4 linked regions of the Neurospora crassa OR74A genome follow. The protein of the gene in region 1 purifies or fractionates together with the protein of each later gene. This does not show direct contact. Links are inferred from orthologs where the notes say so. Each region holds a gene or a part of one and is shown in the gene's direction. Other genes may lie near its edges. The genes, in order: NCU01674, NCU05959, NCU08973 and NCU01907.

The links.
Region 2: the proteins of NCU01674 (region 1) and NCU05959 purify together in Saccharomyces cerevisiae (affinity purification with western blotting; 5 studies listed by BioGRID, with this or other methods). This does not show direct contact. The link is inferred for Neurospora crassa OR74A from reciprocal best matches to the Saccharomyces cerevisiae genes SEC17 and VTI1.
Region 3: the proteins of NCU01674 (region 1) and NCU08973 purify together in Saccharomyces cerevisiae (affinity purification with western blotting; 5 studies listed by BioGRID, with this or other methods). This does not show direct contact. The link is inferred for Neurospora crassa OR74A from reciprocal best matches to the Saccharomyces cerevisiae genes SEC17 and YKT6.
Region 4: the proteins of NCU01674 (region 1) and NCU01907 purify together in Saccharomyces cerevisiae (affinity purification with western blotting; 6 studies listed by BioGRID, with this or other methods). This does not show direct contact. The link is inferred for Neurospora crassa OR74A from reciprocal best matches to the Saccharomyces cerevisiae genes SEC17 and SED5.

What each region holds. Positions count from the first base shown.
Region 1 is NC_026502.1:2,740,862-2,746,452, reverse strand, and holds NCU01674 (alpha-soluble NSF attachment protein), read left to right. Parts: upstream 1-2,117; 5' UTR 2,118-2,492; coding exon 2,493-2,525; intron 2,526-2,598; coding exon 2,599-2,722; intron 2,723-2,810; coding exon 2,811-3,117; intron 3,118-3,190; coding exon 3,191-3,605; 3' UTR 3,606-3,937; downstream 3,938-5,591. Other genes in the region: NCU01672 (DUF726 domain-containing protein), read left to right, coding at 1-162; NCU01673 (hypothetical protein), read right to left, coding at 770-1,489; NCU01675 (90S preribosome component RRP12), read left to right, coding at 4,119-4,190, 4,333-5,591. UniProt on the Saccharomyces cerevisiae protein: SNARE complex protein that binds to cis-SNARE complexes on membranes and is required for vesicular transport between the endoplasmic reticulum and the Golgi apparatus and for homotypic vacuole fusion.
Region 2 is NC_026506.1:3,310,519-3,316,076, reverse strand, and holds NCU05959 (vesicle transport V-SNARE protein VTI1), read left to right. Parts: upstream 1-2,574; 5' UTR 2,575-2,891; coding exon 2,892-3,291; intron 3,292-3,367; coding exon 3,368-3,566; intron 3,567-3,642; coding exon 3,643-3,730; 3' UTR 3,731-4,140; downstream 4,141-5,558. Other genes in the region: NCU05958 (hypothetical protein), read right to left, coding at 1-57. UniProt on the Saccharomyces cerevisiae protein: t-SNARE found in various SNARE complexes involved in multiple transport pathways. The composition of the t-SNARE complexes is specific for a limited number of v-SNAREs and therefore allows only the vesicles carrying the matching v-SNARE to fuse.
Region 3 is NC_026503.1:4,095,457-4,101,153, reverse strand, and holds NCU08973 (SNARE protein Ykt6), read left to right. Parts: upstream 1-1,470; 5' UTR 1,471-1,912; coding exon 1,913-1,933; intron 1,934-1,991; coding exon 1,992-2,157; intron 2,158-2,222; coding exon 2,223-2,512; intron 2,513-2,569; coding exon 2,570-2,689; 3' UTR 2,690-3,144; downstream 3,145-5,697. Other genes in the region: NCU16686 (hypothetical protein), read left to right, coding at 1-352.
Region 4 is NC_026501.1:2,072,517-2,078,662, forward strand, and holds NCU01907 (syntaxin 5), read left to right. Parts: upstream 1-2,602; 5' UTR 2,603-3,133; coding exon 3,134-3,412; intron 3,413-3,482; coding exon 3,483-4,012; intron 4,013-4,067; coding exon 4,068-4,173; intron 4,174-4,241; coding exon 4,242-4,280; 3' UTR 4,281-4,911; intron 4,912-5,056; 3' UTR 5,057-5,319; downstream 5,320-6,146. Other genes in the region: NCU01908 (hypothetical protein), read right to left, coding at 1-666, 764-810; NCU01906 (GCY protein), read left to right, coding at 5,601-5,658, 5,780-6,048. UniProt on the Saccharomyces cerevisiae protein: Required for vesicular transport between the endoplasmic reticulum and the Golgi complex. Acts as a target organelle soluble NSF attachment protein receptor (t-SNARE).

The sequences.
Region 1 (5,591 bases):
GATGAGGCAGCCATGGTAGCCGCAGAAGAAAGGGTGCGAGAGCGTGAGAAGAAGCGAGACGCCGTCGAGCGTGGAATTGTGGTGATAGACAAGGCGAAGGAAGCTGCAAAAAATGATCCGGGTATTATCAGGACCCGGATGAGGAAGAAGAACAAGAGGTGAACGCTGAATTCGACTCGTCGGGAGGAGGGGAGGGGGAATTGGTGAACGTTTAACTTTGGCTTTCTTGGGACCTAAGTTCCTGCTCATGTTTATGTTATGACAACGACAAGGGGGTGGCAACGCAGGGCTCATAAGAAATGAGACAGAATTCGTACGTTATCTAAATAATTGTAGGATTAGCTTCAGTTCAGTTAGCTTTCTATACCAGAGTAATCTCTGGCGGCCGATGTGGATCATCTGGGTAGGGCACACTTAGTATGATACAGCAATCAAATATTGTAGTGTGGCGTTTGCATCGCAACAGCGTCGGGTAGTCCCTCACTCAGTGATTCTTGTCCCTTGAATACCCCTCGGAAGACGTGAACTCCCAGTACAGACAGGCTGGGCATCTGACGCGGTTCCCTGAAAGGCCTGAAAGTCCCGGCCCCGCGTGTTGTATCAACGCATTAGGTTTTCCGTCCTATTCCAAATCTTCCAGGCTCTCCACACGTTCGGCATCAGTTAGCAGATACAGAGCCCTCCTATATAGTCAGACCACGCAGACCACAGCCCTTATGCCTTCTCCAGGGCGCGCGAGACGAATCTCGGCCATTTTCCCCTTGATCATCTACTCCCCCTTCTTCCCACTCCTGACAACAAAGTATCTCCCAACCTTTTGCTCAGCTGATCCCAACACATCCCAATCCTCAGCCTCATTTTTCTTCTTTTCTTTCAGCTCCTCCATCTTTCTCCGCCTCGGCCGCAGGCAATGACCAACAATATCCTCCTCCGCCAGCGCCCCTTCAAGCATCTTCAGATCAATTGTGCTGTCCGCCAGTCCCTCCGGAGACTCATCTCGGATCGAACTCAAGGGCGCCAGCTCCTTGGCTTGATCTGACGGATCCGTGGTATCCACCGACTGGATGGCCCGCACGAAGTGCAGGTGTGAGTGCAGAGCCGAGAGGAGGCGGGTGGTGGAGGCAGGGTCGGAGGCGGAGGGCGGGGGGAGGGCGGAGAGGCGGGCGAGGTGGTGCAGAGTTTGGGGGGTTATTTCGCTTTCTTCGGGTTGGGTTGACGAGGATGGTGTGGATGATGGAGGAAGAAGAGAGCGGACGGACCAGGTTGGCGTGGAGAGGATGACTGATGGGCTGATTTGTGATGGTGGAGGGAGTTTGGAGGAGCCGCCGCGGGCGGTGAATTGAGGGAAGGTTTCGGTTGTAAAAGATCGTGAGCGGGAGAAGTCACGGGTTGATGGCTGGCTGGAGTTGGAGCTGAAGCAGGCTGAGAGGGCCGAGGAGGTTGAAAGAGCTGCGCGGTGGCAGGCGCGGCAGATGGTTTTTGTTGTCATGATAGCCTTGATGGGAAGAAAATGCCTCGGTTTTCAAGGTAGTATAGCTGAAAGGGAGATGTTGACTTGCGTTGCTCTATGAGGTTTGCATATGATGTGGCTTGGAGATTATTTGATGCTTTAATGGGTGGTTTCAGGTGAGGCTCTGGTAAAATGTCGCGATATGAGAGGTTGAGATGAAAGAGGACGAGACATCCTTTGCGAGGTACCTACCTATTGGGCGTCATAGCTGAGCTTTGGTAGGTTGAAGGCTAGACCCCTGCCACCGGGCCACTTGGTCAGGCAAGCTACCAGCCCTCAGGGAACCTGCTCAGGCGTCAAGGGCTTGGCGAGCCGGCATCAGCGATCACAGCCCGCTAAAGTGATCATCCCCCCAATACTCGTGCTCCGCCCCCACTTTTTTGGATCTCGCCAAACTCGCACCAACTAAAGTTGGTGCTCACGACTGCAACGGCCACACCACCACAACGGCCACCATAGTGAGCATAGTTCAGCATCAAGATATCAGAAGCTTGTAACTCATCACAACAACCAATTGAGATAAGTAAAATACTATAAGTATAATTAGGGAAGTACATCGTATATAGGAAGCATTTTTCTGCTTAGAAAAGCCAATACATTAGAAAGATTATGTTTCTGGCCTATAAATCAAGCCCGAAATTGCACCTCTAACCCTAACCTGGCCGTTGCGCTGGTGTGGCCGTTGCAGTCGTGAGCACCAACTTTAGTTGGTGCGAGTTTGGCGAGACCCAAAAAAGTGGGGGCGGAGCACGAGTACCGGCCAACCCCCCAATCCCATGCCCGCATACCTTACCCCGGGAGACAACGAAACACCTCGGGCTCCTGCAACCACCAACACGACACCATCCCGACCAACACCTGAGCTTCTTCGAGCGCGCCCGATTCCGAACAATTGGGACACCCATCAATCGGCTTCATACAGCGGACGCGACTCCAACTTAGAACTTTGCCCATCTATATACCGTCTAATAACTTGCCCTTCATGGCTGTCGATCCGCGCGTTCTCCAACAAGAGGTTTGAAACCTGCCCCTCCTGGCACCTCCTGACACTTTCGCGACACCTTGCTGATGCCGAATGCGAACACCAGGCAGAGAAGACCCTCGCGAGCGCGTCCAAAGGCTGGGGTCTGTTCGGAAACAAGGAAGACAAGTACCAAAATGCGGCGGATCAGTACATACAAGCGGCCAACGCTTTCAGGTTGCAGAAGTCAAGTACGTCATCACAATCATCAACACCCACGATGCGCTTTCGGGCCATATGAACCTCGCGGCAAGTCCTAACGTTCTGCCCACTACCCAGACACCGAGGCCGGCAAGTGTTTCGAGGAAGCTGCCAAGATCTTCACTGAGAAGTTGAAGGAGCCCAACGATGCGGCGAATGCCATGTTGGACGCCTTCAAGGTCTATAGGAAAGATGCCCCGGATAATGCTGTGCGCTGCGTCGAGGTTGCCATCAAGCAGTATACCATGGCGGGGAACTTCCGGAGAGCTGCGTCGCACAAGGAGAACCAGGCTGAGGTCTACGAAAACGAGCTGCAGAATAAGCCAGAGGCTATCAAGGCCTATACAACTGCGGCCGAGTGGTATGAGAACGACGGTGCTGTCGCGTAAGTGATTAATGCCCACGGCTTTTGCGCCATGTTACGAGTCCAACAGGTCGTTCTAACCAGCTGTGTGTAGTCTTGCGAACAAGCTGTGGCTCAAGGTGGCCGACCTCTCTGCCCTCGCGGGCGACTTTTTCGCCGCTATAGAGAAGTTCGAGAAGGTTGCGGAGGCTTCACTCGGCAACAACCTGATGAGGTACTCGGTCAAGGAGTACTTCCTCAAGGCCGGTCTCTGCTCCTTGGCGACCAAGGATATGGTCACTGCTCAGCGTAACATCACCAAGTATGCCGAGAAGGACCCATCATTTACGGGCCAGCGCGAATACCAACTCCTGGTTGACTTGTTGGAAGCAGCCTCAAACAACAACCTCGAGATGTTCCAGGATAAGCTTGCCGCGTACGATAAGATGAGCCGGCTCGATGACTGGAAGGCGGCTGTTCTTCTCCAGATCAAGAACAACTTTGAGGAGGCAGACAACGAGTTTTCATAAACAGGGTGGAGGAACTTGTGATATACAGCCATTTATCACTTTCTGGTTTCCTTCTTTCCTTTTTCTTTTCTTTGTTATCGTACCGGCGTTTTCTGGTTGGGAGGGGGATGAACTGTCATATCATGAATACGGTCATCGACGCTTTGGTGATTTACGGAAGACCCAAACAAACCTGCTGTCTGGGGTAGAGATGGGCTTAAAGCAATAGAAACTTGTTCCTAGTGGGTACGCGTTGTTCGTACGATCCAACATGAATTGTTGTATCTCATAACCTTGATGGCTGCCCAAGCGAAACATAGGTACCTCTATAAGCATGAGATGCCATAGCTAACCCTGGAGTTACAGTTGGGAGCCGCTTCGGACTAGCGCCAGACCCTTATCAATGACAGCGGGTGGGGCGTGCGCGCCGATAAGCGACAACTTTTCGAACTTTTCTGTTCTTCATGACATCGATTTCAGCACTGCGAAGCGGCTTGCATTGTCCCACTCCAGCGCCATTCCATCACATTCACGATGGCTTCTTCTCCGTCTTTGCAGGAGAAACTGGACAAGATTCGGTCTCCGAATCTCCAGAGCCAGAAGCAGGTAAGCCAGAGTCATGATGCATCTCTCCTTTTTCCATCTTTTGTCTTCTGCATCCCTACCCTCTTCCTTCCAGCCTGCCATTGCAGTGGCCTGTCGCAAGGCCGCCTCCATCGTGGACAATGGACCCTGACTTGAGCCACAGACTGCCAGTGTCCTCGAGGCTATCGAGGCCACCTTCAAGGAGCGCAATACACCCGCGACTCCTACCGCCTACTTCGCTGCCCTTCTCAGTCTACTCAACAACGAAAACCTCGCGACCCCCGTCGTCTACCTCCTCGATGTCGTCACTCCCTTCGCTCCAAAGCCTATTCTTCAGGCCAAGTTCACTCAGATCATCACCATCCTCGCGCCAGTACTATCCCTCCCCGATGCCGATGCTCCCCTCATGAGGGCCTCGATCGGCTCTCTCGAGAGCTTGCTCCTTGCTCAAGATGCGACACAGTGGGAGCTCGGTACCGCCCAGATTGGCCCCCGCCGGGCTGTGGCCGGCCTCCTCGCCCTTGCCCTCGACCCGCGTCCCAAAGTCCGCAAGAGAGCCCAGGAAGCGCTCAGGAACATCCTGAAGAACCCTCCGCCGAGCCCGTCTCTCGACCACCCCGCCGCCCCCATGTGCGCCGAGACAGCCATGCAGAGCCTCCGTCTTGTCGCTGACAAGGCCGCCGCCCAGAGGAAGGAAAAGAAGACTACCGACTCTACCCACGATCCCGAGCTTATCCACGCCTTGCAACTCGTCAAGGCTGTCGCCTCTGGAAGCGGTGGCTGGCCCAGCAAGAGCATTGAGTCTTTGTGCGAGCTCCTTCTCAGCATTGCCCGGACGGGCAACGAGCACATGAGCATGGCTGTCTTCGAGATCTTCGAGATGATGTTCGAGGGCATGGCCGCCGACGAGGTTGCCTCCGCCAAGCTTCCTCGGCTGCTCGAGATCATCAGAGAGCTCCGTCCCGCGCCCAACGATACCCAGCTTCTCCCTCCCTGGATCGCCATTCTGTCGAGAGCCTACGATGTTGCCGGTCAGATTTCGCCCGCCGAGACCTTCCAAGAGCTGGTCGATCCTTTCACTCTGGTTGCAGGATACCTCGAGTCCCAGCACAAGAATATTCGCGTTTCGGCGTCCGAGTGCTTGGTCTCCTTCCTGGCCAACTGTGTCCCCAAGGAGGCCATCCTTGAGCCTTCGATTTTTGACGAGAAGGTCATTCAGCAACTAGTCAAGGTTGTCGAGGGCCTTCTCACCGTCCAGTACCAAGCTGCCTGGATGGAGACTTTCAACGTTCTTGGTGCCATGTTCGATGCCTTTCGGTGGCAGGCTAACCCTTACCTCCTTTCCGTCGTCAAGAGCATCGGCGAAATCCGCGGTAACGATTCTTTCGCTGGAAAGCAGGAAGCCGACGAGGTCCTTGGCAA
Region 2 (5,558 bases), on another chromosome or scaffold:
CGAGGGTCTGTTGGAGTATTCGTGACCGTGCATACTGGCGCCTGCGTGAAGAAACATGGTGGTGAGGTACCCCTAGGGCCCCGGAGGCCCTTTCCGCTTGGGGTCGACAGGATGTGTATATGGCAAGGGAGGAAATTGCTAAGTGAGGTGAGATCGTAGTAGGCAAGTGCGCAGGGGTGTGTAGAGGTATGATATGGAAGGAACTGCAGTGCCGTATGAGGAAGGGTCGAATGTGTAAGCCGTTGCCGAGTCCGTCTCAACGGAACCAGCCGCGATGGTAAGTAGGTAGGTGTTGGTGCGCCTTTGGCCGTCCCCCCTCTTATATAAACTCTCGATATTCGGAACCCGGAAGCCGAGTGAGAATGATCCCCAGCTATATCCCCCTGCTCTCAAAGCACTGCCACATGCGCAAATCCCGAAACACGGAAACACTGAATCAACTCAACGGTCAATAGTGGACTCTGGCTCTGGCGCAATCCGACGAAAGCGAAACCGTTCCTCTCCGTCTCAACTGAACACTGGAGCGCCCTGGCTGATGAGCTGGCCTTCACATCGATGAATGGTTGTATACAAAGTTGCAGGTCGAAATGCGGTTGCCTAACGAACAGTTGGCCAGTGGTGATGAGGGCGTAAGAGCTAAGAACGTGGTGAAGCAAGGGGGTGATGGAACGTTATATGAGAGGTCTACCACGGCGGTCCGGTGGCGTCGTATCGGAGAAAACAGAACAGTCGCGAAAGATGGAAGGGAAAGAAACAAAAACAGGATTCCAGATCAACAGGAGATACACCTTGGGAGACACCAGGAACGTGGAGACAGCACGGAAGAGAAGAAGACAAGGAAGGCCCTGATGATGTTTTGAATTAATTAGCTGTTCCGGATGGATAAGGTGAGGAGCTGGAGAAAAATAAGACCCTGGGCTACCGGAGCCTCTGGAGTTCTTGAGGAGCCCGAAGAGAAGCAAAGCCTCGGACGTTGTTGTGGTGTGTGGAAGGATGTCAAGAGAGAAACCAAACAAATCAAGGGGGACCTGGGCAGACTCGGAGTGGCAGGGGAGGGAGCACCAACAAAGTGGATGACCAATTGGCGTCCGACTGTCACCGTGTCTTGGCCTCACCCCTCTGACTGACGGGGTCCAAGCCGTGGCCGAGCTGCGAGGAGCTCCAAGAGGTTTGGAAACGGTGGTGTTGCTGTGCCAGTGGCCGGTCACGACACCCGCGGCGCCCAAAGAAGAAAAAAAGCGACGGCGGAAGCGCACGGCAGATCCTGCTAGATCCTGGTAAAGGTAAGCGGGCAGGGGACTGGCCAAGCCCTGAGCTAGCCTGGCCAAATTAAAAAAGATGGGGCCAATTCGGTGCCGATGGTGGATGACGGTGGACGCCGGCAACGGTGAGTCGCTGAAATCGGCCGCCGATGTGTCAAAACCGTCGGACGTTGGCGTGGGCTTTTTCCTTCGGCGGCGGCGGCGGCGGTACGTAACTCGATCCTGGTGAATGTCGCCAACACTCTCCACTAGCCAAGCGATGATGTATTCCAGCGAATCCTATGGCGTGCCGAGAGTGGATCAGCCTGACAAACCTTCGAATGAAGAACCTCGCAGCGAATTCTCGAATTGTGACCGGGGTCGCTGATTTGTCCGTTGGTGATGGATGTTTTGTGGTGGAGGTTTAGTCAGACGGGTCGGTATCGCTGGGCTGAAGCCTGGTGTTGCTGGACGACGAGCAACAGAGAGAGTGTATGAGTGCGTGTATGTGTGTAAGTAAGTGTGTGCCACGAGGCCGGACCAGATGGCCATGAGCAGTCCTGGTGTTTTGATGTCGGCGACGAAATCCGAATGTCATAGCTGACATATATATGATTTAACAGAAGGTGCAAATCTCGTGGCAATGTCGAGCAGCTACCTACTATTTGCGCCGCAAAACAACATTGCCGACCAATCCGACCCGACTGCCAGGAGAACATTTTCCCAAAGCATCGGTGGCGACAGACTACAAACCCAAAAAAGACTTGGAAAATTCAAGACACCAACCAGAAACAAAAGGCTGGCAATGTGTCCATTTTCTGGGGAAACCAGCCAAGGTTCGCGTCAAGCAGCCGTGACAGTGTCTAGGCAGTGTACACTATATTATCTTAGCATGTCTTGGGACGTGGCCGTTGACTGGACCTTCTAAGCGATATGTCCCCCAAAACAGTTCCCTTCCCTAGGTCGTCATCGGTCTCAATTCGTTGCTGGCTGGTGAAAGGTCAACTCAGTCATACAAAGAAACCAATTGAAGAGTTTCAAGACGCCAAAGTCCCCGGCAGTCCCAGGCGGGGTTGATACGTTCAACTGGACACGGTCCGTGTAAGTTACACTTTGCAAACAATACATACAGCGCTTGCGTACACGTACTGCAACAACACTGCAATACATGCGGCAACGCCAAGCATGTGTACGTCACCCGCCTAGGCTGCAACTGTAACCACTGTAACTGTATGTAACAAGCGGAATGTCATGTGCCCATGCTGGTCCGTGCCCACAGCTGCTGTCGTCTCCCGCCTGCGGCCTGCCTGCCTTTCAGTTCGCTTGTCAGGCTGCTGAGACGACCGCAACGACTAACGGGGCTCGAAGCACACTGGTGTCGCTGGCGACAGACAACATTCGACGACGACCACTACTCCTTGCGATCAGACCAACCACACGCCAGCCCAACCACATCTCGTCCAACGCGACCGCATCAACGACGCCCCTCTTTGGCATGATTAATGACGAATCTGAATAATTGAGAATAACGATACCCGCCGATAAACGAGCATCACCCCGATACGGCCAGCCCGACGACAGCACCCCCACACCTGCCCCGAACCCCAACCTCCACATCCGATAGCAACACATAACTCCATTGAATCCAAGATGGCCAACATTCTCGACAGCGAAGCCGGCACAGAGCTCTTCAAGCATTATGAGACGGAATACCAGCTGGTCCAGGCCGACCTGGTCCAGAAGCTCGACCAAATCTCGGAGCTGACGGGCGAGCCCAGGAAAGCCGCCCTCAGCACGGCCGAGCGCGCCCTGGAGGAGGCCGGCGAGCTGCTGGACCAGATGAACATGGAGAAGCAGAACGTGCCCAGCTCGTCGCGGACCGCCATCAACAAGCGACTGCGCGACTACCGAAGCGACGTGGACAAGTATCGTCGCAAGCTGCAGACGCTGGCGACGGACCGCAGCGCCCTGTTCGGCGGCAGATACACCGATAACCCGGGCTCTTCGAGTGGCGATAGGCATTTTGAGCAGAGGCAGCAGCTGCTATCTGGTGGGTGGTGGACAGAAGCACCTTATACATGGCAAGAAGAAACGGAATGCTGACTATTTCCCCCGAAACGTAAAAGGCACCGACCGGCTCGATCGGAGCACACAACGCCTCAAGGCCAGTCAGGCGCTGGCCGCCGAGACAGAGGCTATTGGCGCCAGCACCCTGGCCGACCTGCACCGCCAACGCGAAGTCATTGAGCACACCACCACGATACTATACGAGAGTGAAGGCTATGTGGACCGAAGTGTCAAGACACTAAAGGGCATGGCACGCAGGTACCACCCTCCCCTTTTGTCCCAATGCGAATCATGATGATTAGGTAATACTGACCACTTGCGCCTTTACCATTAGGATGGCTACGAATCGGATAATCACCATTGCGATCATCACCGTGCTGGTCCTCCTTATCATTGCGGTTATCGTTAGCAAGTTCAGGTGATTGTGTCGAGAGAGCTGAGCGAATCCATAAAGAAGCAATACAACATCAGGTAGAACAGGCAGGGGTGTTCAGTGACATCACGATATATACGAACAGGTGGTGGATGGTTTGGACTGTACCGATGGAGCGTTTGTTATAACAGAGACATGTTCCAGTTCCATGTTTTTCGTATCGTAGGGATGGTATCGTACGGGGGGTTGTATTTTTACACAGACGGCGTCACAAAGGGAGGTGGTTTCGAAATTTAGACGTATTTCTTTCTCATGACCATACGGCGGCCTTGCTTCCATGGACGTTCCGACATCCGACAGGGGAAAACGGCTCGCCATGTCCACCACAACTCGCCGCCACATGGGTAGCGGATCGTTCTCTATGATTTCAAATGATTCTCCTCTGAGACATAGTATCCCTGACTTTGGTCGGTGTTGACCGGGGCCTTGGTTAAAACAAATTTTCTGTTGGCCACTGTTGTTTGAATGATTTGCGTTCACCACACCTCTGCTGGGATGTGACTTGGTAGCTTGGTAGTTCTACAAGAAACAGAGAGCGAGCCTTCGACAAAGTCGCTATTTCTTGTGCCCAAATTAAGCTTCTTTGCCACCCTGAAGAACCGTGGTGTACTGTGTATATCCCAGCAAGAACTGTGTCTTGGTAACTCATGTACACTACAGGCCTATTACAAATGAGTAGACTAAGAAATTTTCCATGTGATGGAAACACGCATCACTGCAAATCACGTCAAGTCATCTTCTTCGAGATACTTTCGTTGTTGTTAACATTTGCATATAACCCCACTTTCACAGATACGCAGTACATAACGGACCCTCAGACCTTCCACAGCTCCAGTTGAACTTTAGGCGGTGAAAAAAAAGAAGTCCACCGGACTGATGTTCCGCAGCTCAAGCTGCAGCTGGATGGAGATCGCCGGTCTCTCCCCGGCAGCCTTCCACTCGTCTCCATTTTCACCTGCAATTCTTCACTTCAAGATGGAGTCACAAGACAGAAACACCAAAACCGCTTACGGAGCGGACTTGACTTTTGGCGAGGGGAGTTCCTTAGGTATGTAGGTATGGAGTCGTCGTCGTCGGGTCCCATGGAAGCCAGCCGAGGGCACCGACGGAGAAAAGCCTCGCTCCACTGTGGATTCTCTCTCTCTCTTTCTCTCTCTCTCTTCCACTGTAGCGGGACTGACTGCAGTGCAGTGGGCCAGCTGAAAGTCTGAAGGGATGGAACATCCGGGATGGATGGAAAACGAGGGACAGGTTGCACAAATTGCACAATTTTCACAAAGTACACAAAAAAAAGTCGGAGGACACAAAATTCTCGGATTCGGATTCGGATTCGGATCGATGCGGGTTCGGATCGATGCGGATTCGGATCGCCGACATGAAATTTCTCATACGTATCAACGTGGTGGCAGTCTTCACCAGTCACGTTGACTTCAAGTTGAGAACTGAAGCAGACAGAAAAACCCCGCCCGGCCGGCCGTGAGTCGGAAACGGAGTCAAGAAGGACCCCGATGTCCGTTGCGATTCTTTTTTTGTTGTTGTTGTTGTCAAGTTGTTTTGGGCTTCTACACCTGTGGGAACTGAAGCAACGGGACGATGTCACCGTTGCAACCACCAATGCCTGGTGGTGGCCGTTTCGGCAGGCCTAGCGTAGAAGATATGTCACAGGGCAGAAAGAAAGAAAGAAAAAAGTCAACATGTAGGTAGGGCGGGCAATGACTTGATATGATACATGATACATGATACATCACTGATGGGTGGGATTCGAGATTCCCAAAGGTTGGCAGGGGCGCTTTTGTTTGGAGATCGTCAAACGGTTT
Region 3 (5,697 bases), on another chromosome or scaffold:
GTGGGCGAGGCTCGAGAAGCTGACCAGGGGGGACGAGGTCGCGTCGGGAAGGTCGACTTCGTCAATCAACGGAGCAGACGAGTGCGAGCCAAGCGAGCCAAGAGCGAACGATGGTTCCTGTCCAGGTTACGCCCGACTGCCCGGCAAGACGTTGCACCCTGGACTTGCCTTTAAAGCCAATGGGATTGGCTCGGCCCTGGTCTGCAGCAGCGGGTCCACCCACCCACTGCACTGCGAACCCACTGCAGAGAGTCTAGTGTCCACTGCGCTTCGTCGCCGTCCCAACGTCCCCCAGCATCCCGCCCGTTCCTCTTCCATCTCACAAGCGAACGGCACCGCGACGGCAGAGTGAGATCGCTGGGGAAACGAATGGCGAAGAGCCACAGCTCACTGGGCTTGTCCTAATCGGTGCAAAAAGCGGTGGAGCACCACAGGCATCGCCGGCGTCCAAATCTGGTGTAGTGTAGGTGGAAGGAGGAACCGACGCATGTGCCGGCCACTTCACGAACCCCCCCTGTCTCTTTCCTAGGCTTGTCTACACGACACTACACTACATAGTACACTACACTACGGCTTGGTTTTCCTCTTTGAGCCATCTCCTCGTCATTACATACACTACGACTACGGGTCTTGATGGTTGTTGTTCCATCAAGGTCAACTTTTGGTAGGAAGACTTCTAGCTTCACCAGTCTGACGATCTCTCGGCCAGAAGTTCATGTCCAGCTTTACATTATTGGTGATGTACAGACGCGTGGGCAAGGCGGTTCGATGGTCATATGTGTGTAGTTACATTTGTGCGACCATGAATGATATGTACCCGAAAGGCTTCGAGATCCGACACGAGGTGGAAATCCGCGCGGTGTAATATCCGGACCTGGTGGAGAGGATCGATGACTTTGTTCTCGAAAAGGTCATTCAAGGCATCGATCCCATCCGTCTGACTCGAAGGAGTTTTGCTCCATAGTATTTTATACTGGGTAGTCGTGGAATCATATACTATGTGCCTCATAGGGGTAATACTCGTTGAGAGGTCCGCGATCCCTTCCAGACTCGGAGCAGAGTGCATGTCAAACATATTCGCTTCGCGGGTGAACACTGTACACCAAAGACCCTTTTTTCGCTTCAGGAAACCTCGTTAGAAGCATGGGCCGGCGTTCCGCTTGTTCTGTTTGTGCTTTCTAATCACCTTCCACATCATCAGTCCGTCCCCTTGGAAACTTTTGTTCAATGTTCCAGGAAGATGTTCTTGACAAGTGCGATTGTAGGGATCTGAGTAGTCGTCTTAGTCGTCATTGCACATGTCAATCATGGTTGAACAAAAAGCAAATGAAAGGACACGGAGATGCAACAAGAGCCCGTGTTAGGACAAGGTCTTCCTATAGTAGCATTGGCACTAACATGTGCTAGCGGGGCGGTGTTTGGCCGACGCCCGCCTGACGGTGCTGTTCCAGCCCAGAGGGCATGGGTCTCGATGGCCTGGCCCAACAAGAAGCGGACGGCTGTGGTTGGCTTCGACACATCGCCATTCAGCCTCGAACAACAGCTTGATTCCATCGATACCTCATCGCATCGCCATTGCCGCCATCGATCGCGCGTCGTCTATCAAACCCCTCCCCCTAATCCATCGACAATCGTCGAGCCCGAACCACGACCGACACAGCGACGCGCTTCCTTGACCAAACCATCGCAACTTACAATCCATTAACCTAATCTAACGACGAACCCTACGATTCGGCAATTCCAGACCTCATTGCTCCCCACGCCATCACATCGGCTCTCTCTATCCCAACGCGAGACATCAACATCATCGTGTACAGTCAGGAACCATCAACAGCGATACTCGCCTGATTTGCGCCAAAGCTCTGAAACACGACCACAACAAAACCTCGGGGACGTTTCAAATACCGCTACCATGAAGCTCTACTACATTGGTGTAAGATACGGCTGCTTTCATAGGGGGTACAAGAAGGTACCTGCTGACCGCGAACAAGATCTACAAAAACACCGAGCAGCCTGCGGTGCAGCTCTGCGGTGCCCACGAGCTTAGCGACTTCTCCAGGTTCACACGAGACCAATACAAGAACTTCATGACCATGATCAGCAGGACTGTCGCAGAGAGGACGAAGCCTGGCCAGAGGCAAAGTGTTGAGGAGCAAGGTGCGTCTATGGTGAACTCTCTGCTCGCATACATGTGCCTAGCTGACTAGGTGGTGTCCGAACAGATTATATTATCCACGCCTATGCCCGCTCCGAGGGTGTTTGCGGTGTCGTCATCACCAAGGACTACCCTCCTATCGCCGCCCACAGTGTCCTTTCCAAGCTCATGGACCAGTTTCTCTCGGAGAAGCCGGTTGCCACGATAAACGCCGCCAAGAACGACGGCGACATCCCTTTCCCGGCCATCGAGCAGTACCTTCGCGACTACCAAGATGCCAACAACGCGAGCAGCATTGCAAAGATCCAGCAAGAGCTCGACGAGACCAAGATCGTCCTACACAAGGCAATTGATAGCGTATGTCCATTCACAGAGGGTAGCAATGCTCTATATAACATGCTAACCTAGTTTTAGGTTTTGCAACGAGGCGAGAAGCTCGACGACCTGGTTGCCAAGAGTTCCGACCTGAGTGCGCAGAGCAAGATGTTCTACCAGAGTGCGAAGAAGCAGAACTCGTGCTGCCTGGTTATGTAAAGATCGTTCATCAATACCAACCAACCACGCGCGACTGTCTTCGCTTTTAGTCAGCCGCACTGATATATGCCATCGACCGCAACGTTCCCCCTACCCAAATACAAAGAGCGACTGACCCCTCGTTGTCTTCGAGGCACTGGTGGGGGTCTCTTCTAATTCAGCTTTTGGTTTCCGCGCAGGTTGCAGTTTGGCTACTGACGACAGAGGGCCTTACAGTAGCCGCTTTGGATATGTGAAAGCCACTTACCTTGACGGCTTCGTGGGCTCTGAGAATGCTAAACTTCTAATTCAACCTGCAATATACCCTTTCTCATATTCATTGTTGTGTGGTACATACCCGAAACTGTGAAAGATTGACCACTGTTTGGCGCTAAAGCTGTGAAATACATACTTCGACTACCAGATGTAGGTAGTCCTGTTATAGATTTGTTATGTGTCGAACCCGAGGCTGCGCACTTATCTGAGAGATCTTCGCTCCGTTTCTTGCATACCCGTTAGTTTCATACGACATCCGCCCTCAAAGATTATGTGATGGGCCGACACAAGCGAAGCGGTCGGGTTCCCCAGTCACGACATTCGGTTGCAGTGATGACGACCTTGTCCGCCACGCCGTAGTGGCGTAAACTGTGCGAGTCGTAACTAATGTACACTATGGTATATTCTAGGGGTTGTTATCCCTCTCAAGCTAGCCCAGCCAAAAAGACTCTTTTGAAGATATGAATGGAAACGTTGAGATTCAAACTACAAGACTACGCAGCAGCATCAATTGAGCTGATCGATGATGGCGGCATTGCGTACGGATCTTCCTCCATGCCGATCTTATATCGGCTCCGTCGGCGTCTACTCATGTGCACTACAGACGTTGGATGCAAGCTGGGGTTCGAACAACATCATAGGAAACTGAGACTGTAAATGTGCGGGGTGGCAGAGGCGCTCCTACCTGATGTCGCGCCTTTGCTTCAAATGAATGGGGATTCGGCTTACGGCAAAGATCATATTAGAATTCATGGGATCATCATTGGGGGTCTTTGTAGGTGACTGACATGTCGAGAACATCTATAGTCAAGGTAGAGAATATGTCACAAGTGAGAACTGCTACATATACGGCGTAAAACTCATTGTATTGGGCTGGGCTTTATTTGACACCAATCGAACCCTAAACAAACCCATTGCCGGGACCCAGTTGACTGGGCAGAGATAGGAACATGCATATGTACACTACACACCTGCTCCCGAGACATTTTACACCGTCGTTCATTTTCCAAAGATGTTGGGGAAAAGATAAATCAGGTGCATACATCATACGCACATACGTACATATAACAGGCAGTGTTATCATGGCCTTTTTTCCGCGGAACTGACATTCGTTTTCATGCATGGTGCCATAAATTGGAAGCAACTCTAAAAGGCCATGCGTTTAGGACTGAATTTAATGAAACCCGAGTCCAGTTCTGACAGCTGCATACTGCAGGACTGCACAGGTTTAGAGAGTGCCCTTACTAGGCGTTGAAGCCCCAAAACAAAGAAGGATTCGAATGAAAACATTGTGATTCAGGATAAATAGATATTCGTTCGTTTTCGTGGTGTTTCGGTCGAGTTTGGTATTTGTTCTGGGTTCATCAATCCTGTCCTGGGCAAGGTCAACGAAGTGAGGCTCAACGACATGTGCCGTCTTGCCAGAAACGCAAACAGGTTCACAGTTGTGTTCAGAACACCAGGAACTGGTCCCACAAGTTTATAGTAGAAGGCCAAGGGTGTTTTGGGGGGAATAAAAGGACCGGGCTCACCGCCCGTCCTCCCGTCCGAGGATCCATGAAAGTGTCGTACGAGATCTTGATTGTCACCCTTCTGCCAGGTATTCCCCGGAAGAGTGGAAGGCAATTGATGCAGTCAGTCAGTCAGCTCAATTCTGGTTGGACGGCACCTTCCTCCTCCAAGAACAAGCCATCCCGAACGTCAAAAGTGACAAGGGATGGACAGACAGAGCAGGCCAAGCACAAACGGCTACGGCAACCGCTAGGCTTTTTTTTTTTCCCCTTCATTTTTTGTTTCCAAGTGAGAGGGGGAGAATGAAATGTCTCATCTCACTTCGCTTTCTCATCACTCCCGCCGTTGCAGTGCATTAGTTCCTTGGTTTTACGGAGGGGTAGAGGGGCAGGAGGTGAGTGTTGTGGTGTTCTCTCTTTTTTTTCTTTCTTTTTTTTCTTAGCTTCCAGGTGGTACGGTCGACACTGAGGAGGGGATGAGGAGGGGAAGAGGCTCTGGCATGATGAGATGGAAGTGGGTGTCCTTTTCGAGAGGGAGGGAGAGGTTGTGTGTGTGGCCAGCTAGCCTCCCACGGCCTGATCTACCAAGTGGTGCCAAAACACAGTACTATGTACATGCACGACCACTGCTTTCGTGGTGAGCCCGTCTGTCTTCTTTGTGTTTAGCACCACCTTCGGTGAGGATAAGCATTCACCCACCAATTACCACTCAAAGCCGTACTATGTACACTAGGGTGCATAATTGCTGATGTGGGCTGGTGAAGATGCACAGAATCGGGACTGTAGGAAATGCTCGTAACGATACCATACATCACTACATCTCTTCCATGTCGTTTCCACGTTACGACATGCCGCGTTTCCATGCGACAAAGAAGAAAGAGTTAGGAGAAACGAGAATGCAAAAAGTCGAAAACTCAATGACAAGACATGATGAACATGGCAGAGGTGCATTTGCATCAAGCGTTGAACATCAAAAGCATGCTTTGGCAAGCCATGGCACATGTACATAAGCGGGGTTCTTTGTGCCTCACGACCTGATTCGTCAACCTCACCTGAAGGTTATCGCGACGAGCTGATTAGCTCGACTTGGATTCTGTTTGGAAATGTCTCGCATTTATTCCCTGCCCAAGAGAGAATCCAATAGGGGCATGGTAATTAGGGGCATTAGACTGGTCCGTGCATACTCCACTTTCCTTAAGCCGAAAGTACCGACTGTATCTTCGTAATTATCATATATACAAA
Region 4 (6,146 bases), on another chromosome or scaffold:
GATTGCAGCTCCGCGCTATTGTCGTCTCCCATCCGTCGATATACATCAGTAGGTCGGGGGAGGGGCAGCGGCTTGTTGGACGATACCGGAGAGCTGAAGTTGGGGGAAGCTGATCGAGCGTCTGACCACGGTCTTTGCGTTGGGACGGCCCAAGTGGTAGACCTGGGTTGGCGGGTCGGGTCAGTCATGTTTGGGATGTCGCGAGGACCCATACTGCTCTTGCGAGGGGGGAATTGCGTAGAGGCCGGCGGGCCAACATTCTGGGGCATCGTAGCTACGCGCATCATAGACGGAAGAACCTGTTTACCTCCAACAACGGGTGAACTAGTCCGTGGCGCATCGGGTTGAGGCTGTCCAAAGGTGCCTGTTCGTTCCAGGGCATTCGGTGTCGTCGGCGTGGAAGAGGCCGCTACCATCTGAGCGATACGGCCCGAGGGAGCAGCTGGCGTTTGCTGAGTTTGTAGATGCAATGCTGGTGTATATGGCTGGTACTGCTTGGCGGGCTGCGGAGGGGCTGGTGGACGTTCCGAGTCAACATCGTCATATTCCTCGCTTCCCCAATCATCGCCGTCGTAGTTCTGTGGCTTGAAGTTGGCCCATTTTCGCGTCTTTGAGCGGTTGACGTTGATTTGGTATTTGTTGTTCGAATCCGGAGCGCGGGGGTTTCTGTGTGTGGTGTCGGACGGCCTTTAGCGACTGCGGGCTGAGAAGCGACCTGCTCGGGCATTACGGAAAGGGGGAGGCTAGAAGCAGGGCAACTGACAGTGGGTTGTTGTTTGTCGGGTAGATATTCCCGTATGTCCCGTCCATTGCATTGACCGTTAGTGTTTATGGCGATGAGCGTCGTTGTGGCATGCGCCGATATGTACAAGCAGGCGACAGAGTAGCGCTGTCGAGTCGAATGAAGGAAATAGAACCGAAATCGGATGTCAGACAATTCTCAAGTAAGGGTAGCCTTCTGCAGCCTGGAGTATCCCGTAATGTATTGCGGGCCAGATTCTGAGTATCCGATAAGCAATTCCGAAGATGTGTATCCGTGGCGTCGAAGGTGTCTACGGCCTGTCCGATGTGAAAGTATGACTGAAGGAACGCGGAGAAAAAGGCAAGGCAAATGGCGAAGATTAGGTTGGTGGTAGTGAATGTCTGGTCGGTTGGCGGGCCGATTAATTAGTTGAAAGTAGCGCAATATACTGGTAACCAGAAGGGAAAATGGATGCGTAAATGTGTGACGGAAGAGTCGCCAAAGAAAGTTCGAGGGCGGGAAACGGTTGGATACGAGGATGGAGGAAGGATTAGAAGGGAGACTGAAATCGCGAAGACGGACATTGGGACGTGAAACTGAAATGTTGGACTTGCGCTGGCAGTTGACCAGATGACACTGCATCCATTCATGCTCCCTGCTCTTTCCTCTCGTTGTTGAAGATTATGGTCCGGGACCGCGGCAGGGATCAGCAGCCCAGGGCAGCATTGGAACGTCAGGCGGACGTGGGGCGAGCTTTAATGAGACAGGCTATTAGACTCTCCACTCTGTAAGGCACTAACTGAATGCCACCGCACTCGGCCGCGGATGCAGTTAGAGAAACCTGTGGCTCTACATTTTCGGAATATGTAAGGTATTCGTAGACCTCTTGGGTAGAGGTAGGTGAGGTGAAGCCGAAGGGAAGCTTCTTTTAGGTTTACGAACTCACTACACAAGGGGAAAGTACTGATAATTTGCATTCAATTCTTTAGTCAAGTATAGGTATCTGGAGAGAGAGGCCTTCACGGCGACGCTTCTACGGGGCATTCAGGCCTCAGCAAACCACATAACTCGCCAGGAAAGGGGGGAAAATCCCATTTGAATGAGAATTAGAAGTGCTGCAAGTTGTTTGGTTTTGTGAAGCCCTAGTTCAAAGGCAGTCACAATGGCTCTAGAAATGATACCCCGGATTTCATCCGTTTTTAGAGTATCTACTTAGAGGTAATTCTTAGCTACCTACTTTGGTTGCGCCTCGATCGATGCTAATGGCGTTCCACCCTTGCTGGCGCTGCAGTGACAGGCCTTGAGTTTCTGGTACCGCTCAGCTCCAAGCGCCCGGCCTGACGTTCATTCATGTACTAGAGGTAGTACCCCAAATCCATGGGCCGCAGTGGGTCAGAAACGCAGTAACCCAGAGGCCAGGGGCATTCAACGAAGCGTCTTCCCATTCTGACAGACGTGACCCCATCATGTAAAAATGACATACCTCTAGTCACATCTCACACCTTTGGCTCGGATAACCAGAAATTCATCTCCCATTCTTGGGCTTTTGGGTCTGAGTGTGGGGGCAACCATACTATTCCAAAGAGTGGCAAAAAAATACAATGTGAAAGAACATTGAGTTGCAGTGCCGAGGTGTTATCGACTTCAAGGTTGATCGGGAAGTTGATTCTTTAAAAAGACTGGGCTGATGTCCAATCAAATGTACTACTAGCGAGTCTAGCTTAACTGAATGCTTAACAACAGTGTCTTGGTCAGTCAGCTTTGGATTTTTGCACTGTGAGCTTTTCTTACTCAACTGCAGGGGCCGAGCCACACACTGCAGCGTCACGGGCCCTCCTGAAACTATGTAAGTAAAGTAACCACGTTTTCCCTTTATCGAACTCCCGTCGCTGATGACAACAACGGAGGAGCTTGTTCAACCTCGACGACCACGACACCAACCATTTGACTCGACGACGGCGACGACCACGACCACGACGACGAACTTATAACACCGCCACTCATTCATACGTCATCGCGAGTCCATCGTGTAGCGCCTTTCATAAATACGACCTTCAATCAACACACCCACGACCAGCCGCCGACCTCCTCGCCAGTCGCGAATTAGCCTCGCTCCCGCCGCATCCCCCGGATCCGCCCATTTCCACTTTGCCAATCCATAATCTCCTCCGCAAACTCGCAGCCTACGAGTCGCATTCGCCCCCGGTCACGATTGACAAAGTTGACGACGTCTCGATTCCTGACTTACGAACTCCGACGTGTTATTGATTACGACTTAACCGCGTGCCGGTTGCTCAGGGGTACACGCGCCCCTCTACGACCCATTCCCCGCGATTAGCTGTTGGAAACGGACGGACTACCGCCTCAGCATATACCGATACACCTCTAATTATGGCTGTCTTTGCCATCAACGACCGAACGGAAGAGTTCCGACAGATTGTTGCGGCTGCCCAGCGTAGGCAGGCCACAAAGCCAGGAAAGCAGCGACTTCTGGACACCGCTCAACAACATGCTGCCAGCAGCGATGCCCAGCCCAGAAGGTCTGAGTTTGCGAGGGGGGCTGCAGAGATTGGAAGGGGTATCTCTGCGACAATGGCCAAGCTGGAAAAGCTAGCACAGCTGGCCAAGAAGAAGACTCTTTTCGATGACAGGCCGGTCGAAATCAACGAGGTAAGCTGGGTCATGCGCTTGATCTTTGCGCGCCTCGACTCCATAACTGGCTGGCTAACCATTATGTTAGTTGACCTTTGTCATCAAGCAAGACCTGTCTTCGTTGAACGAGAAGATCAGGAACCTGCAAGATCTCTCTAGACGTCTGCACCCGAAGCCCGACCAAGAAGGGGAGAACAACAAAAACATTCTCCTGCTCCTACAGGGCAAGCTGGGAGATGTTGGTGCTAATTTCAAGGACGTGCTCGAAATCAGAACCAAGAACATTCAGGCGTCGCGGTCGAGGACCGAGAACTTTGTCTCGTCAGTAGGTCAGCACGCACATGCTTCCTTGCAACAATCTGCGTCACCTCTGTACGGCACGCCTAGTAGGGGAACGCCAGCACCAGGGCAGCAAGATCTGATCTCGCTGAACCCGATGGGAGATCAGCAGATGCAGCTCCAGATGTTGGAGGAAGGCCAAAACACCTACGTCCAACAACGAGGGCAAGCGATCGAGGCCATCGAGTCGACTATCAATGAGCTGGGTTCCATTTTTGGGCAGCTCGCGGCCATGGTCAGCGAACAATCTGAGATGATACAAAGAATTGATGCCAACACGTAGGTTTGTCTCGAGACGCTCGACACACCAGCACTGTACTAACACACCATGCAGAGAGGACGTGGTAGAGAACGTCGAAGGCGCGCAAAAAGAACTGCTCAAATATTGGAGCCGTGTTTCAAGTAATAGATGGCTCTTAGCCAAGATGTTTGGTGTTTTGGTAAGCCCAGTATTCCTGCTCTGTTACCTATGCCCTGCATAAAACTCTAACGCTGTGCGACTTTGTAGATGATTTTCTTCCTTCTCTGGGTATTAATTGCCGGGTAGACGGCAGTTGTGGCGGCGTTTCAGTAATATTATACTTCTTCTTTATAATGCATGCAGAGGCGTCTCTTGTAGACTTTATGCATTAATTATACAATTTCTCTTCCTCATGAAGATGCGGTTCTTTTTTTGCATGCGCTCTTCCATGTCCTTTCACTGTTCCACAACATAACCTCTTGCAAGGCTGATAGAGCTCAGGTATACCTCTGGATGGTCGGTGGGGGCATTTGATTATTTATACCTACTTGCCGAGGAAGTTGGCTTCAGCATAGGGATCAAGACTCAAAGTTCGCTCTCGGTTCATCTAAGGTCAACAAATACTTAACCGACGGAATTCGCTTACGCTAAATGCCACCAATAGAGGAACAGGTTTAGACTAAGCACTCCACGCCCCCAGTTCCTGCAACTGTAATCATTTCAGTTCCACTCAGCTTCGGTACCTGGAACTAATGCTCTCCGCTCGAGCCCCAGAAAGAAACCCAGAGCAAGCGAACACGACGGATCCACTCGGCCACTCACTGTTACCACTATCTATAGTAGAGCGGACCGACACCACAGCAAGGTCTCATTCCGACAGAGGGGCAATCGTTCCGCCGAGGCCCTTGTTAGATTCAGCCAAGTTTCGCGGGGTAAGGTGAGAGGATGCCATCCGTTCCATTGACCGGATGTTTGTTGCTGGGGCTATCTTTGGCGAGGTTGTCGATATCCCACCTTCGAAGTACTGTCTGATATCTTAACGAAACGCCGAATGCCATCGAGTACTGACTAAACACGAAAAGACAGAAGCCCCGAGTGCCGTATTTCTGGACGCCTCAAACCCAAGTTCACGATGTTCGAGTTACACAATGGCGTGTCGATGTTCCGTTGTTACTTCCATCCACGCTGTCCATGAATAATTACAGTCGGAATTTCAGGTCTCATGATTACCTAGTCAGGTACAGACAACATGAAGAAAAAGAATCATTACAAACATGTAGCTTTCTCGGAATCGATAACACCATAACTATCCCCCACGCTCTAACGCCGATTGCCATTTAGCCGAATGTCCAGTGTGGCTCAAACCCTGGACAACCTTCTCCTCGAACGTAACTTGATATAACTGGTCAATCCTCCTCTGTCTTTCCTTTCCACTCTCAATCTTGATATCATAGCTTCTAGTCGACCCCAAAAGCTGGATTCTCCGTGTAAAATCAGCCGTTTCTTGTCTTGTTCACTCCCCATACTCCTTCTTTGAAGCTTGCCAACAGCAGCAACATCAGAATCTTTCGTAGTTGGAAACAAAACCAGATACCTCACCACCAGCACCACCATCAAAAAACCATCATGGCCACCAAAACCTTCAAGCTCAACACCGGAGCTAACATTCCCGCGCTGGGACTTGGTGAGTTTCCCGTTTGTTCTCCATTGTCACCAGTTCAGGTCCCCTTCCCCTCTTAAACACACAACACCCCCCTTCCACCCCTCGCACGCAGCTAACCCATCCCCTCCCCCTCCTTCAATAGGCACCTGGCAAGGCGAATCCACCCAGGTAAAAGACGCCGTCGTCGCTGCCCTCAAATCTGGATACCGCCTCATCGACACGGCTTACTGCTACGGCAACGAGGAGCATGTCGGTGCCGGCCTGAAAGAGGCGTTTGATCAGGGTATCGTCAAGCGCGAGGATGTGTTTGTCGTAACTAAGCTATGGGCGACGTACACGAGCCGTGCGGAGGAGGGGCTAGAAAAGAGTTTGAGGAATCTGGGTTTGGAGTATGTTGATTTGTTTTTGGTGGTATGTTGTCTCAGTCTTCAGTTTTTCCTCTCGCTATTGTGAGCTGCTTTGCTTGGGGGGGTTAGGGGGTTGTGTCAAAGTGGGGGTGGAATTTAAAG